Oryctolagus cuniculus: one gene and its partners. The protein of the gene in region 3 purifies or fractionates together with the protein of the main gene of each other region. This does not show direct contact. Links are inferred from orthologs where the notes say so. Each region holds a gene or a part of one and is shown on either strand. Other genes may lie near its edges.

Region 1 (4,131 bases), on a different chromosome or scaffold from region 3:
GGTTGTCATTGTTTTCTGGGTCTTCCATAGCCCCCATCAGAGATTAGTTTTATAAATGACCCTAGTGAGGTCAGTTGGTGGGCTAAGTACAGCGGCTCCTGCCTTCCCAACTGAGGCTTACAGGGAGTGGGATCCAGAAGATCTGTTAGTTCATCTTTCTGAAATTATGACAGTACCACCCCCCCACCCCCGGACAGCTCAAGTGCTGATGGACTTTCCAGACCTTGGTGTCAGCCCAGCCTAAACCCTGACCTCTACATGCAGACCTGAAGCTTGCTGCCAAGGCCACTGTGCTGCTGGATTTGTGCCCTGACAACTACCCACCCCATCACCAGCACGGGCGTGTTCTCTGCCTGCCATGCATGGGGCTGGGATGGGGGACGGATCTACTCACCACGAAGGGAAATGTGTGGAGCCATCAGGTGTGGATCCATTCTGGCCGCCCAGACCTGAAGGCAGGAACACAGCCAGAGCTGCAGTAGACTGGGGGTGGGGATCTGGGCAAGCATCAGCCCAATTCAGGGTAGGGGCCGCTAGTGGAATCTGCCAGGGGTCCTGAGTCTGGTGACGGTTCTAGAGATCAGTTACAACGTGATGGGCGGAGCGGTGGGGATTCTGGCATAAAATGATACGGTATGATAGCATAGGTCAGGGTAAAATACTAAGTTCTGACGATCTTGGTGGACTTCTGGTAGTCTAGGGGGATTCTGAGGAACCCAATGGTTCAGTCTGGTGGGGGCGGGGGCGGCCAGCTCACGGAGGTTCATAGGGAGCCTCACCTGGGCGGTGATACAACCCGGTCACCGTGTTCCCGTAGAACCCCCACGCCAGCTGGATGCCCAGGAGACTTAACACCAACCACAGCAGCAGCAGTTTGAAGAGGGTCACACGCATGTCCTGCGCCTCCCACTCCCGCAGAAACTCGCTGCCCAGCGCGCCCAGCGCGCCTAGCACCGTGGCCGGCAGAGCCTGCAAAGACTGTCCAGACCAAGACTCCGCCATGACCGGCCCGCGCCCCACCCGGGGTACTGTCACCGTAGTGCACACCGCGCAGGCGTAAGGTCTTCCGGGGCTAGGCCCGTTAGTGCGCACGCGTAGAACCAGGCAGGGCGGGCCTACCTCGCTTGGGCGAAGAGTTGGCAGTTTAGGGAGGAGTATTAAAACCGCGCACGCGCACTTAGCCCCACCCTACTCCCTTAAAGCATGAGTGACTCCCGGAGTATAAAATAGCAACCGGGTCTTTTATAGCCCCAGAGTTCCCGTGATGCCCCACGCGGCTGTAATGATTGGTTGAGCGTCTTGCTTTTAGGGCGTGGACGCGCGCCTGAGCTATCGTGGCTGAGATGTGAGTGTGCGCGCGCGCGCGGGGCCGCGACCAGGGCCGGCTCGAGCCCGCTGGGCGCTCGGGGACGCGCACGTCGCTCCCCGCCCTCCCGCCGCCGCCCGCCCTCGCTCGCTCGCGCTCCCCGCCCGCCACCCGCCGTCCTCCGTCGGTTCTCTCGGTAGTCCGCCGTCGCCGCCTCAGCTACCCGCCCTCGTCTCCGAGCTTGCGACTCGCGGACAGGCGTCCTCGGCGCGAAGAGGCCGGACTCGGAGTCGTCGCCCGAGGTGAGCGGGAGGATCCCCTCCTGGCGCCCCGGGCCCGCCCGCCCGCCCGGCACTTTTCCGGCCGCCCGCCCGCCCGCCGCCCCGCCGCCCCGCCGCGGCCGCGCCCCACCTGCTGCTCCCGCCCGGCCGCCCCCGGCCCCTGACCCTCACTCCAGCCCGGGGCCCGCGCCCCGCTCCCGCGGCCCCGCCCGCGCCGGCCCCGGAAGCGCGCCCCGCCGCCTCCAGCGCCCCTTCCCCCGCCCGGCCGGGCCTGCTGGAGCCCCAGCCGCCCGCCCGCCCCGGAGCTTCCTCTCTCACGGCCGCGCGGGGCTGGGCGGGGGCTCCTGGCCGCGCGGCGCGGCGCAGCCGGCAGCCGCAGAGCGCTCGTGGCTGTCGGAGTTGAAACGGGAGAGAAACTCTTTACAACTCCATTTTACCTTTTCCATCTGCTGTAGCACATGAATCACCGTTTTATGCAGAAGTCCGGCTGTGCTTTGAATAGATTTGCCTTTTTTTTTTTTTTTTGATGCGGTATGCTTGGAGAGAGTCTTAAGTAAAAAAGCTTGTGTTGAGGTCTTAGGACTGCTGCCTGAATTGGGGCGGAAAAGGGTGTTTTCCAGTTGAAAATTTTTAATGATTTAAACAACGTTGCATTAAAATGCAGGTAGTTTTGCCTGTGGAAGTTGCTGCCTTTTATTGGGACTCACCTAAACATCTGCCCCTGGTTTTGGATAGGATACACAGTTACAGGGTGTCTGCATTAAATAGCATTGTTTGCCCCCAGGTCGATTTCGTTAAATGCAGTGTTTTGTCATTTCTGGTGGAAGCTTGCATCCTTTTTACCTCCGTGTTGCTTCCTGTTGTGTTTCCTAGTAGTCCTGTTCTCAAAATGTTAGACTCTGTTGGTCACTTGTTCGGTTATTTCTGCCTTTAAGACGATCTTTTGAAGTAAATGTGTCTTGCAGGTGTGCAATCAGATTAGATTCCTCTCTGCCAAATCTGAAGGGGAAAAAAATGTCAAAGCCCCAAACCTCCATATTTTAAAATGGTGTATATGGTGAGACTTTTTCAGCCACTTAGTGTCACACACCCAGGCTGGGTTGGTGGAGATGTTGTATGTGGCACAAATGACATTGTTTGGGCTGAAACTTACAAAGACTAGTCCTTAATTGAAGCATCTCTTGATAAATTTCTAGAGACCCTTTAAAACTACAAATCTAAGGTGAATTTTAGACTCCTGTGAGTCTATGCCACTTGTCATTGTCACTAGTAGCCATAATGCAGTTGGACCCAATGTGTTGTCTATAGCAGTCCATCAAGTCCAAATCAATTCTAAAAGTTTAGGTTAGGTTTAGGTTAGTTCCATCTACTTTTGTAGAGCACTTTATGGCTCTTGGGGACATAAAATATGTAAGATGGAACTTGGTTTTAGTCAAAGTCTAGTACTAGGTTTACTGTCCTCATAAAAATCTGTACTGGAGAGAATAGAGTAGGATTATAACATCGATCAATTATCTTCATAGACCTAGTACTAAAATGAATTAAAATCATGTAGTCCAATCACATCTGCAGATGAGGAAACTGAGTCCCAGAGACTTAATTAAGCAGGATCATACTGGTATTATCTAGCTAGAAGCAGGCCAGAACTGTTTGCTCTGCAGGATATTCTCAAATACACTCCCAAACAGCTGGACTAGAGTCAGCTAAACTTTGGGACTTACTCTACCGTTTTTTCTTTTATACCTTGCTGACTTTACATAGATTGGGAGAATGTGAAAATTGATTTGCCAGCCAAATTTCAGTTCCTTAGCTGTCACAGCACTCTCCGTAACGGGATGGTTCCGCTGCAGTCACTTGTGAGAAATACCTGAATATACCTGCAAGGTCCTTGGCTGCCTATTCCTGGCTTTAGGTGTTTGGGTCTCAAGCGACCAATTTCCGGAGAGAGGCCCAGGCCTGGCTGCTCCAGAACCAGCCTAATGAGGTCAGGCTGAGATGTTTTCAGACAACTGCGGGCTCTTTTGCTGACTCCTGATAGGGGCAGGCTGAGGAAGGAACTGTACATATCAGGGTAACAGTCCCCTGTGCACATGTGTGTTGTGGTGGTTTTTGTTAGAGTATTTTCATAGTTTTGGTTCCTATGCTGTCAGCCAGTTAAGTTTTAAAAGTTTATCCTAGGTATATGGGGGCGTGAGTTATTAGGAAAGTAAAAACGGGCAGATCTTAGGTGTGTGTTGTCGATAGGGTGATATGCAAGTGGTTAGTTGCTACTTTGGGTCTTCTTAATTGTCTTTATTTTTTTTTAAGATTTTAAAAATACATATTTATGTATTTGCAAGGCAGAGTTAGAAAAAGAAATCTTCCATCTGCTGGTTGGCTTCCCAAATGGCTAAAACGTCTGGGGTGGGGCTGGACCAAAGTGGGAAGCCTAGAACTCTGTCCAGGTCTCCCTGGTGGGTGGCAGGGGCCTAAGCACTTGAACCATCCTCCACTGCCTTCCCAGGCACATTAGCAGGGAGCTGGATCAGAAGTGGAGCAGCCAGG
Region 2 (4,088 bases), on a different chromosome or scaffold from region 3:
GGGGGCGGCTAAGCAAGCAGCAGAAGCCAAGGCTCATTATTGCAACATCATCAAGACACAATGTAATAGCTACCAGCAACCCTCTCAAACCAGGCCAAGTCAAATCCTGGCTCCATCAGAACCGTGTGGCTTCACCTTCCTCTTGGAGCCTTTAGGTATGGATGGAGATAATCTTATTAACCACCTGGAAGGGCTGCTATGAGTGAATACGCAGCCACGTACAACTTGGCCTGACATGCTGCTACCCAGGTATTTGCTTCATCTTAGCAGTGGTTATTCAAATACACTTAGTATCCCTGGGAGACCAGGACACATTCTAACACTTCAGCCCTGAGGGAGTTTACAATTTTGCTGAGAGTTCAGGGCATAAAATGGTGAAGCCAAGAGGGTGATCTATGTCAGAGGCTGGCAAGCTACAACCCATGGGCCTCTAGCTAGCAAGTTGTACACACCTCCAGAGTTGTCAGCAAACAGTATCTTACACTGACAACCGTACCCTTGCAAAGTGCCAACTGCAATCTGGCCCTTTACATAAAAAACTGCTACTCTTGATCTATGTAATCAAGACAGCAGGCAACTGGATACAGAAGATACGTGGGCAGGAGGCAGGCTACAGAACCCCCAAAATCTCATGATGTCATCAAGAAACCTTCTTGGGGTCAGCGCTATGGTGCAGCAGGTTGAAGCCCTGGCCTGAAGCGACGGCAACCCATATGGGTGCTGGTTCTAGTCCTGGCTGCTCCTCTTTCGATCCAACTCTCTGCTATGGCCTGGGAAAGCAGTAGAAGATGGCCCAAGTGCCTGGGCCCCTGCACCCACATGGGAGACCCAGAAGAAGCTCCTGGCTCGTGGCTTCGGATTGGCTCAGCTCCAGCTGTTGTGGCCATTTGGGGAGTGAACCAGCGGATGGAAGACTTTCTCTGCTTCTGCCTCTCTGTAACTCTGCCTTTCAAATAAATAAATAAATCTTTTTTTTTTTTTTTGACAGGCAGAGTTAGACAGTGAGAGAGAGAGACAGAGAAAGGTCTTCCTTCCGTTGGTTCACCCCTCAAATGGCCGCTATGCCCGGCGCCGCACTGATCTGAAGCCAGGAGCCAGGTACTTCCTCCTGGTCTCCCATATGGGTGCAGAGCCCAAGCACTTGGGCCATCCTCCACTGCCTTCCCTGGCCACAGCACAGAGCTGGACTGGAAGAGGAGCAACCGGGACAGAATCCGGCGCCCCAACCAGGACTAGAACCCAGGGTGCCGGCACCGCAGGCGGAAGATTAGCCAAGTGAGCCGCGGCACTGGCCAAATAAAATAAATCTTAAAAAGAAAAAGACCCTTCTTACAATTTACTCAGAAGTGGTTATCCAATTTCTGTTTAAAAGGCTAGGCTCACAGAGCTGGAGAACTCATTTCAAATAAAGATTTATTTTATTTGAATAGCAGCATTACAGAGAGTGGGCGGGGGTGGGGGGGAGGAATGAATCTATCTTCCTTCTGGCTCACTCCCTAAATGGCCACTACACCCAGGCTGGGCCATGCCAAAGCCAGCAAAGCCAGGAGCCCCATCAGGGTCTCCCCGTGGGTGCAGGGGCCCAAGCACTTGAGCTACCTCCTGCTGCCTTCCCAGCCCCATTAGCAGGAAGGTGGAGAGCCAGGACTCAAACTCGAGCCCAAATGGGACCTCAGGCGGCACCTGCTGTGCCACAACGCCGGCCGAGGGCTCACGATCTGACTTCATCTTAAGTTCCCTGCCCTTTCCCACCGCAGAAGCCTCCTTTCGGCGGGGTTCAGCTTCATATCCGAATCCTGGCAATCTGAATCCCGGCTCTGCCAAGAACCAAAAAATTTACATTCTCTCTCCGCGCCTCCCAAACTTCGTTTAGAAAAATGCAAAGGATAACAATGATTTTGGGATCGTGAGAACTAAACAAAATGGTGTCAAGGTGCCCTACAGGAGGCCACTAGTGTCACCTGCTTTTGAGGCCCATTCCCTTTAGAACACGATTCCAAGTCTCCTTTCCAGCAACAAAATAGCTGTCCCGCGATGCAGAGCTCTCGGGAAGAAGTTAAGACTGGGGCCCTGGTCTCACTTCTACCACCTGTGGCCAGAGAGTCACTCTGATCCGCTGGATTCAGTTCCTTCACCGATAAAGTGAGGGAGAGAATGACCAGAGGATCGCCGGGCCCCTCCTGGGTTAGAAAACCCCCGGAGCAACGGATCACCACGCAGGACCAAGGGCTGAGTCAGTTCCTTCCACCCTCATCCCAGCCCTTCCCCGAAATCGGGTGAAGCTGGCGAGCAAGGCACGCACCCCAACACGGCCCGGGCTTGAGGTCCCCACACACGCAAACAGCTCGTCGACTTGCGGTGGTAAATGAAGACGCGGGTGACAGGCTCAGAGCCAACCCAGACCCCTGCCCGATCTGCAGCTGGTGCCGTCTTCCTCCCTCCTCCTCCGAGCTCCCTTCAGCTCGCTCGACCGCGACTCTCCCGGGGGCGAGAGGCGGGCGCGGGCCGGGAGCTCGCCTGCGGGAAACGCTCTAAGCATAGCCGAGCACACGCCGCCGCTCACCTCAGTCGGTGTCGACGCGGATTCTCGCTCCGGGCAAGGTTCGGATCCAAGTACCAAGACTGTGCAGGACCCCGGGGCGGGTCCTGCCTAGAAAGGCCCCCTCGTCCCCGCCCGCGGGTCCGGCAGGCCTCACAGGCTGCCCGCTGCCCGCCTGACTGGAAAAACTCGACCCTCCGCCCCCTCCTCCCTGGGCCCCTGTTCTCCCGCGGAGAAAGCGTTCTTCCGACCCCGTTACCCGGGAACGAAGCGTAGGGTTACGGGGCCGGCGGCAGCCCGGCCTCTGATTTTTAGTCAGGCAGTTCTTCGGCCGCCTTGGCGTCCCTGCCACGGGAAGAAAAGTCCTCTGCCGCTCCGCCCCGGCTAGAAGCGCTTTCCACTTTTCGTCCTCTTAGCTCAAGATGGTGGCCTCCCGGGCAATTGGCAGCCTGAGCCGCTTCTCTGGCCTCAGGATCCTCCGCTCCCGAGGTGAGCCCTCTTTGAGGGTGCCCCCGAACGCAGGGTGGAATTCCGGGGTCTGGGGCGGCCCCGTGCCGCGGCTGCCTGGTGTTCCTTCGGGCCCGCAGTCGCCGGGGGCCCAGCCTTCGTCGGGGGGGATACTGCCCTGGGACCCCGTTTGCTGTGTCCTTGCGGAGGGGCTGTCTCTCCTGCCTCCCGTGTCGGTCCTGCGGGCTTGTCAGGCTCTGCAGCCCCTGGGTTTCTGAGTCCTCTTCACCCGGCCCGGCGCCTTTTCCGCAGGGCTCGCGGGCTGCACTTGCGGGCTCACGCCCCTCTTGCTTGCGTTGGTGTTGGTCTTAGACCAGGTGCGACTAGACTGGGAGCTCCAGGAGCACCCGGACCCAGGCTGTGGCGTCTTTGTGCCCCCACGGGCAACTTGCTTCCTGCTTGGATGTCTTTAATACCAGCCTAGGAGATCGCGGCCGCTCCCCTAATCTTTACATCACAGCCATTTTTTAAAAAAAATTATTTCTACGTTTCAGTAGGGAGCATAACTCTTGCAGTTCTAGTACTTACAGTGTTGATAGAGAGTATGTTGAATTTGAGGCTCTGAACTTACTGGAAGGGACATTTTTAAGGTATGCAAATAGCTAGAGTTCTTAAGGAATAAAATGTTAAGTCGTGTAAAGAACTGGCTCTAGTCTTGTTTGTGACTGTTCCCGGCTAGCCTATATTAACAATATTGTCCTTTTCTCCTCGGGCTGGTATTAAAACGATTAAAGTGGGTGGTTGTCTAAAACCTAGCCTTTTCCTTCCACCCCAAGTCTGTAAGGTCAGGCGTAACTTTTTATTGCGTGTTGTATGTTATGTCAGTTACTCAATTAGACATTTTTACTTTTAGCTTAATTTGTAATATGAATTCCTTTCCTTACTCCTGAACCAAGGGGGAGCATGCTTTTATTATTATTATTTTCTTAAAGACAGGTAGCTGGAGTCTTCCCTTGCTGAAAGGGATTCGTCGAATGCGTGAATCTTGTTCTACTCATGTTTTTAGTCTCCGCAGGACTGTCATGTGTTATTCCAATCGTAG
Region 3 (3,500 bases):
ATGCATCGAGCTGTGCTGCGGTTCCGTGAAGGAGATGAGGGAGAGATACACCAAAATCGTCGAGATACCCTTCAACTCCACCAACAAGTACCAGGTCTGGAGGGCTTGGAGCTCGTGTGGTGGCTGCAGGTGCACAAGCCAGGAGAAGCAGTCCCCTACCTACTGGAGTTTTGCAGGGTTTAACTTTAAATTTGACCCTTGACTTGTATATGGAAAATCTTAATTTATTTGAATATCAGTAGCTGGCATAAATGAATGCTCTTCCAGACCATTGTTTGGGCTGTATCGGAATTTTTACTTAGGATCCGGTGGGGGGGGGTGGGTTTGGGGGGAGAGGCTAGGAGTGTGGGCGTGACAATCATTTTGTATGCAAGTTTGTTTGTTTGTTTAAGATTTATTTATTTATTTGAAAGGCAGAGAGACAGAGGCAGGGAGAGAGAGATCTTCCATCCACTGGCTCATTTCCCCAAATGGCTGCAACAGCCAGAACTGGGCTTATCCAAAGCCAGGAGCCAGGAGCTTCTTCCAGGTCTCTCACACGGGTGCAGGGGCCCAAGGACTTGGGCCATCTTCTTCTACTGCTTTCTCAGGCCTTAGCAGAGAGCTGGATCAGAAATGGAGCAGCCAGGACTCGAACTGGCGCCCTTATGGGATGCACGCACTGCAGGCGGCAGCTTTACCTGCTACACCACAGCGCCAGCCCCTAAAATTTGCTGGAGGGAGGTTTTCTATGAGGACATGTGTCAGGAACTTATGTATATAGCATGATGCCCGTTGACTCTGCAGTAGCCAAGGTGTGCTGCTGTCATTCAGAGTTCAGAAGGAAAGAATAATAGCGTTGGTTGGTTCGGTTTGGTTTGGTTTTGAAAAAAAAGCAATCCTAAACAGTAGGTGGAGCTTTGTTTTCCTCCCTGGACTGCCGTATTCAGCCATCTAACGTGTGCATCTGAATCACCTTTCCCAGCTGTCCATTCATAAGAACCTCAACGCCAATGAGCCACGGCACCTGCTGGTGATGAAGGGCGCTCCAGAAAGGATCCTGGACCGGTGCAGCTCTATCCTCTTGCACGGCAAGGAGCAGCCCCTGGACGAGGAGCTGAAGGACGCCTTTCAGAACGCCTACCTGGAGCTGGGGGGCCTCGGCGAGCGAGTGCTAGGTACGCAGACACACCTGCTGACTCGCCCATGGCCGCCATCCCAGGACACAGAAGGGACGTCTCCAGGATCTTGACTCCGGGCTTCATTGTGATCCTGGATGATAAACCTTGGGCTCAGAAGGTGTCTGCTCTTTACTCAGCCTTGGGGTGTCCAGCGTGGACCCTGCACACTGGTGCTTGGGTTCATATTTCGATTAAGTGAACAAGTAAGCAGAGAAGTAGCCCTGGGGTAGCAGAAACAGGTAATTATAAGGTTTGCCAGACCTAAACACCCTATCATCAGGGAGTGGCTCTGAAGCCTAGGTATCAGTGCTGTCCATTCAGTCTTCTCCATGTTAAACAGTTCCCAGTTCTTTGAGGTTTGGTAATGGAATCTGACTTTCAGATGTTTGGTTCTTTTCTCAGACTCTGTATCATTCATGGATATGAAACAAAACACTCATTGATTGTAAAACTAGACTTTGGGGGCCAGCGTGCTGGGGCAGAGGTTCAAGCCTCTGCCTGAGATGCTGACATCCCCTGTGAGCGCCAGTTTGAGTCCCGGCTGCTCCACTGCTGACCCAGCTCCCGGTTAATCTATGTGGGAAAGCAGCAACAGATGGATCCCTGCCACCCACATGGAAAACGTGGATGGAGTTCCAGGCTCTTGGCTTCCACCTGCCCCAGCCCGGGCCGCTGCGGTCATCTGGGGAGTGAAGCAGTGGCATCCCGGAACAGGCAGATGTGGGCAGCTGGCTGCTACCAGCCTCATACCTCCTGCAGTGTAGACACGCTCACAGGCCCCTGCTCTCTCGCAGGGTTCTGCCACCTTCTTCTGCCAGACGAACAGTTCCCTGAAGGATTCCAGTTTGACACCGATGAAGTGAACTTCCCTGTCGATAACCTCTGCTTTATCGGGCTCATCTCCATGATCGACCCTCCACGGGCGGCCGTCCCCGATGCCGTGGGCAAGTGCCGCAGTGCTGGAATTAAGGTAGCACCCGCCGGGGACGCTTGCTCTTTTCTCCCCTGGAGGGCTAACTTCTCTTCTCCAGAGCCTTGGTTGTACGAGAGAAACCAAATAGTACTGAAATGCGGGTCTGAACAGCAGATGAGGGATTAGAGAAAACCCACGTTCCTAAAGAGGAAATGCGGGCGAAGGGAATAGAGCAAAGGCCTGGAGTACAACCGGGACTGCTCCGTTACTGAGCTGCTACCCTGCGCGCCGATGGCGTCTGCTCAGGTCTCGGTGGAGCTGATGGTCCGTGGGTGTCTGGTGTGCTCTGACTTCTTTTTCGAGTAGCTGACTGTGACTCAGGTGTCCTGCCAGCTCCCTGTTGGATGTTTGTGTCCCCAGGCTTTCATACTCAGGAGTCATACTGCCCTGAAAGGCTTCGTAGAAATGATTTCCCTACAGTTGCACTGTTTCTTTGAGACTGTATTCTTCCAAGTATAAGCACTGGATCGATAACAAGTTTGAATTCTTGTTACCTCCTGCTCTCCTCCCCGCCCTCTGCCTCAAATTGGGTCGATTTGAGAATGCTGACTAGTGATACGTGGCCCCTTGGAGGCCCACTAGTGTCCGTCTTCCCTTTTTGCTGGTTTTAGAGGTTGAGTATTTTTATGTGGCTGTGTAAAAGGGGAAGCAGATAGGTTGTGCGCTCACGCACCGAGTCTTTGGCTGGATGTTTGCTTTCTGTGAATGCGATGCTTGTGTTTTGACTCGCTGATGTTGATCGGTTTTATGTTTGCAGTCTTTGCCTTTGGCTACTCGGCTGAATCTCCTGCCGCTCATTCCTGCCCACCTGCAAATAAGACTTTTTACACTGTCCTGTCTCCTACCGCAGGTCATCATGGTCACGGGAGACCATCCCATCACAGCCAAAGCCATCGCCAAAGGTGTGGGCATCATCTCTGAAGGCAATGAGACCGTAGAAGATATTGCTGCCCGCCTCAACATCCCAGTGAGCCAGGTGAACCCCAGGTAAGGCGGGGAGCCCGAGGCACAGCCTGCCGTGGACGTGCAGGCAGGGGTAGTCTGAGATCTGTGCCCTGGTTCCGTACTGGTTTGCTTGCAGGCTTGTCTGAGTAGGGAATGTGCCTGCGCTCAGAGAGCAACTTTGCAGACCCTAGGGAGAGCTTCAGTCCGAGCAGGTCGTAGTGAGTGACACCTGAAGGGTGTGCCGTGCCCGGAGGGCTTTTAAGAATAGATGTTTCAGGGCTCCACCACACTGAGTAGGGAGGCTGAGGCCTGGGGAGCTTCAAAGTGCAGAACTGGCCAAGGCATGCAATGAATTGGGCAATTGCTTCCAATGTCACGCTACACTGAGCTCTGCTGCCTGTCACCCAGCACCTGTTCAGTTT

The links. The genes of interacting proteins can lie anywhere in the genome.
Region 1: the proteins of ATP1A1 (region 3) and RHOA purify together in Homo sapiens (affinity purification with mass spectrometry; 3 studies listed by BioGRID and IntAct, with this or other methods). This does not show direct contact. The link is inferred for Oryctolagus cuniculus from reciprocal best matches to the Homo sapiens genes ATP1A1 and RHOA.
Region 2: the proteins of ATP1A1 (region 3) and HADHB fractionate together in Homo sapiens (co-fractionation; 3 studies listed by BioGRID, with this or other methods). This does not show direct contact. The link is inferred for Oryctolagus cuniculus from reciprocal best matches to the Homo sapiens genes ATP1A1 and HADHB.

Annotation. Positions count from the first base shown.
Region 1 is NC_091441.1:99,831,127-99,835,257, forward strand, and holds the start of RHOA (transforming protein RhoA), read left to right. Parts: upstream 1-1,331; 5' UTR 1,332-1,608; intron 1,609-4,131. Other genes in the region: TCTA (T-cell leukemia translocation-altered gene protein), read right to left, coding at 395-449, 780-1,002. UniProt on the Homo sapiens protein: Small GTPase which cycles between an active GTP-bound and an inactive GDP-bound state.
Region 2 is NC_091433.1:176,562,780-176,566,867, forward strand, and holds the start of HADHB (trifunctional enzyme subunit beta, mitochondrial), read right to left. Parts: upstream 2,801-4,088; 5' UTR 2,564-2,800; exon of another isoform or gene 2,303-2,563; intron 1-2,302. Other genes in the region: HADHA (trifunctional enzyme subunit alpha, mitochondrial), read left to right, coding at 2,962-3,028. UniProt on the Homo sapiens protein: Mitochondrial trifunctional enzyme catalyzes the last three of the four reactions of the mitochondrial beta-oxidation pathway.
Region 3 is NC_091438.1:54,052,565-54,056,064, reverse strand, and holds part of ATP1A1 (sodium/potassium-transporting ATPase subunit alpha-1), read left to right. Parts: coding exon 1-94; intron 95-964; coding exon 965-1,157; intron 1,158-1,954; coding exon 1,955-2,130; intron 2,131-2,983; coding exon 2,984-3,120; intron 3,121-3,500. UniProt on the Homo sapiens protein: This is the catalytic component of the active enzyme, which catalyzes the hydrolysis of ATP coupled with the exchange of sodium and potassium ions across the plasma membrane.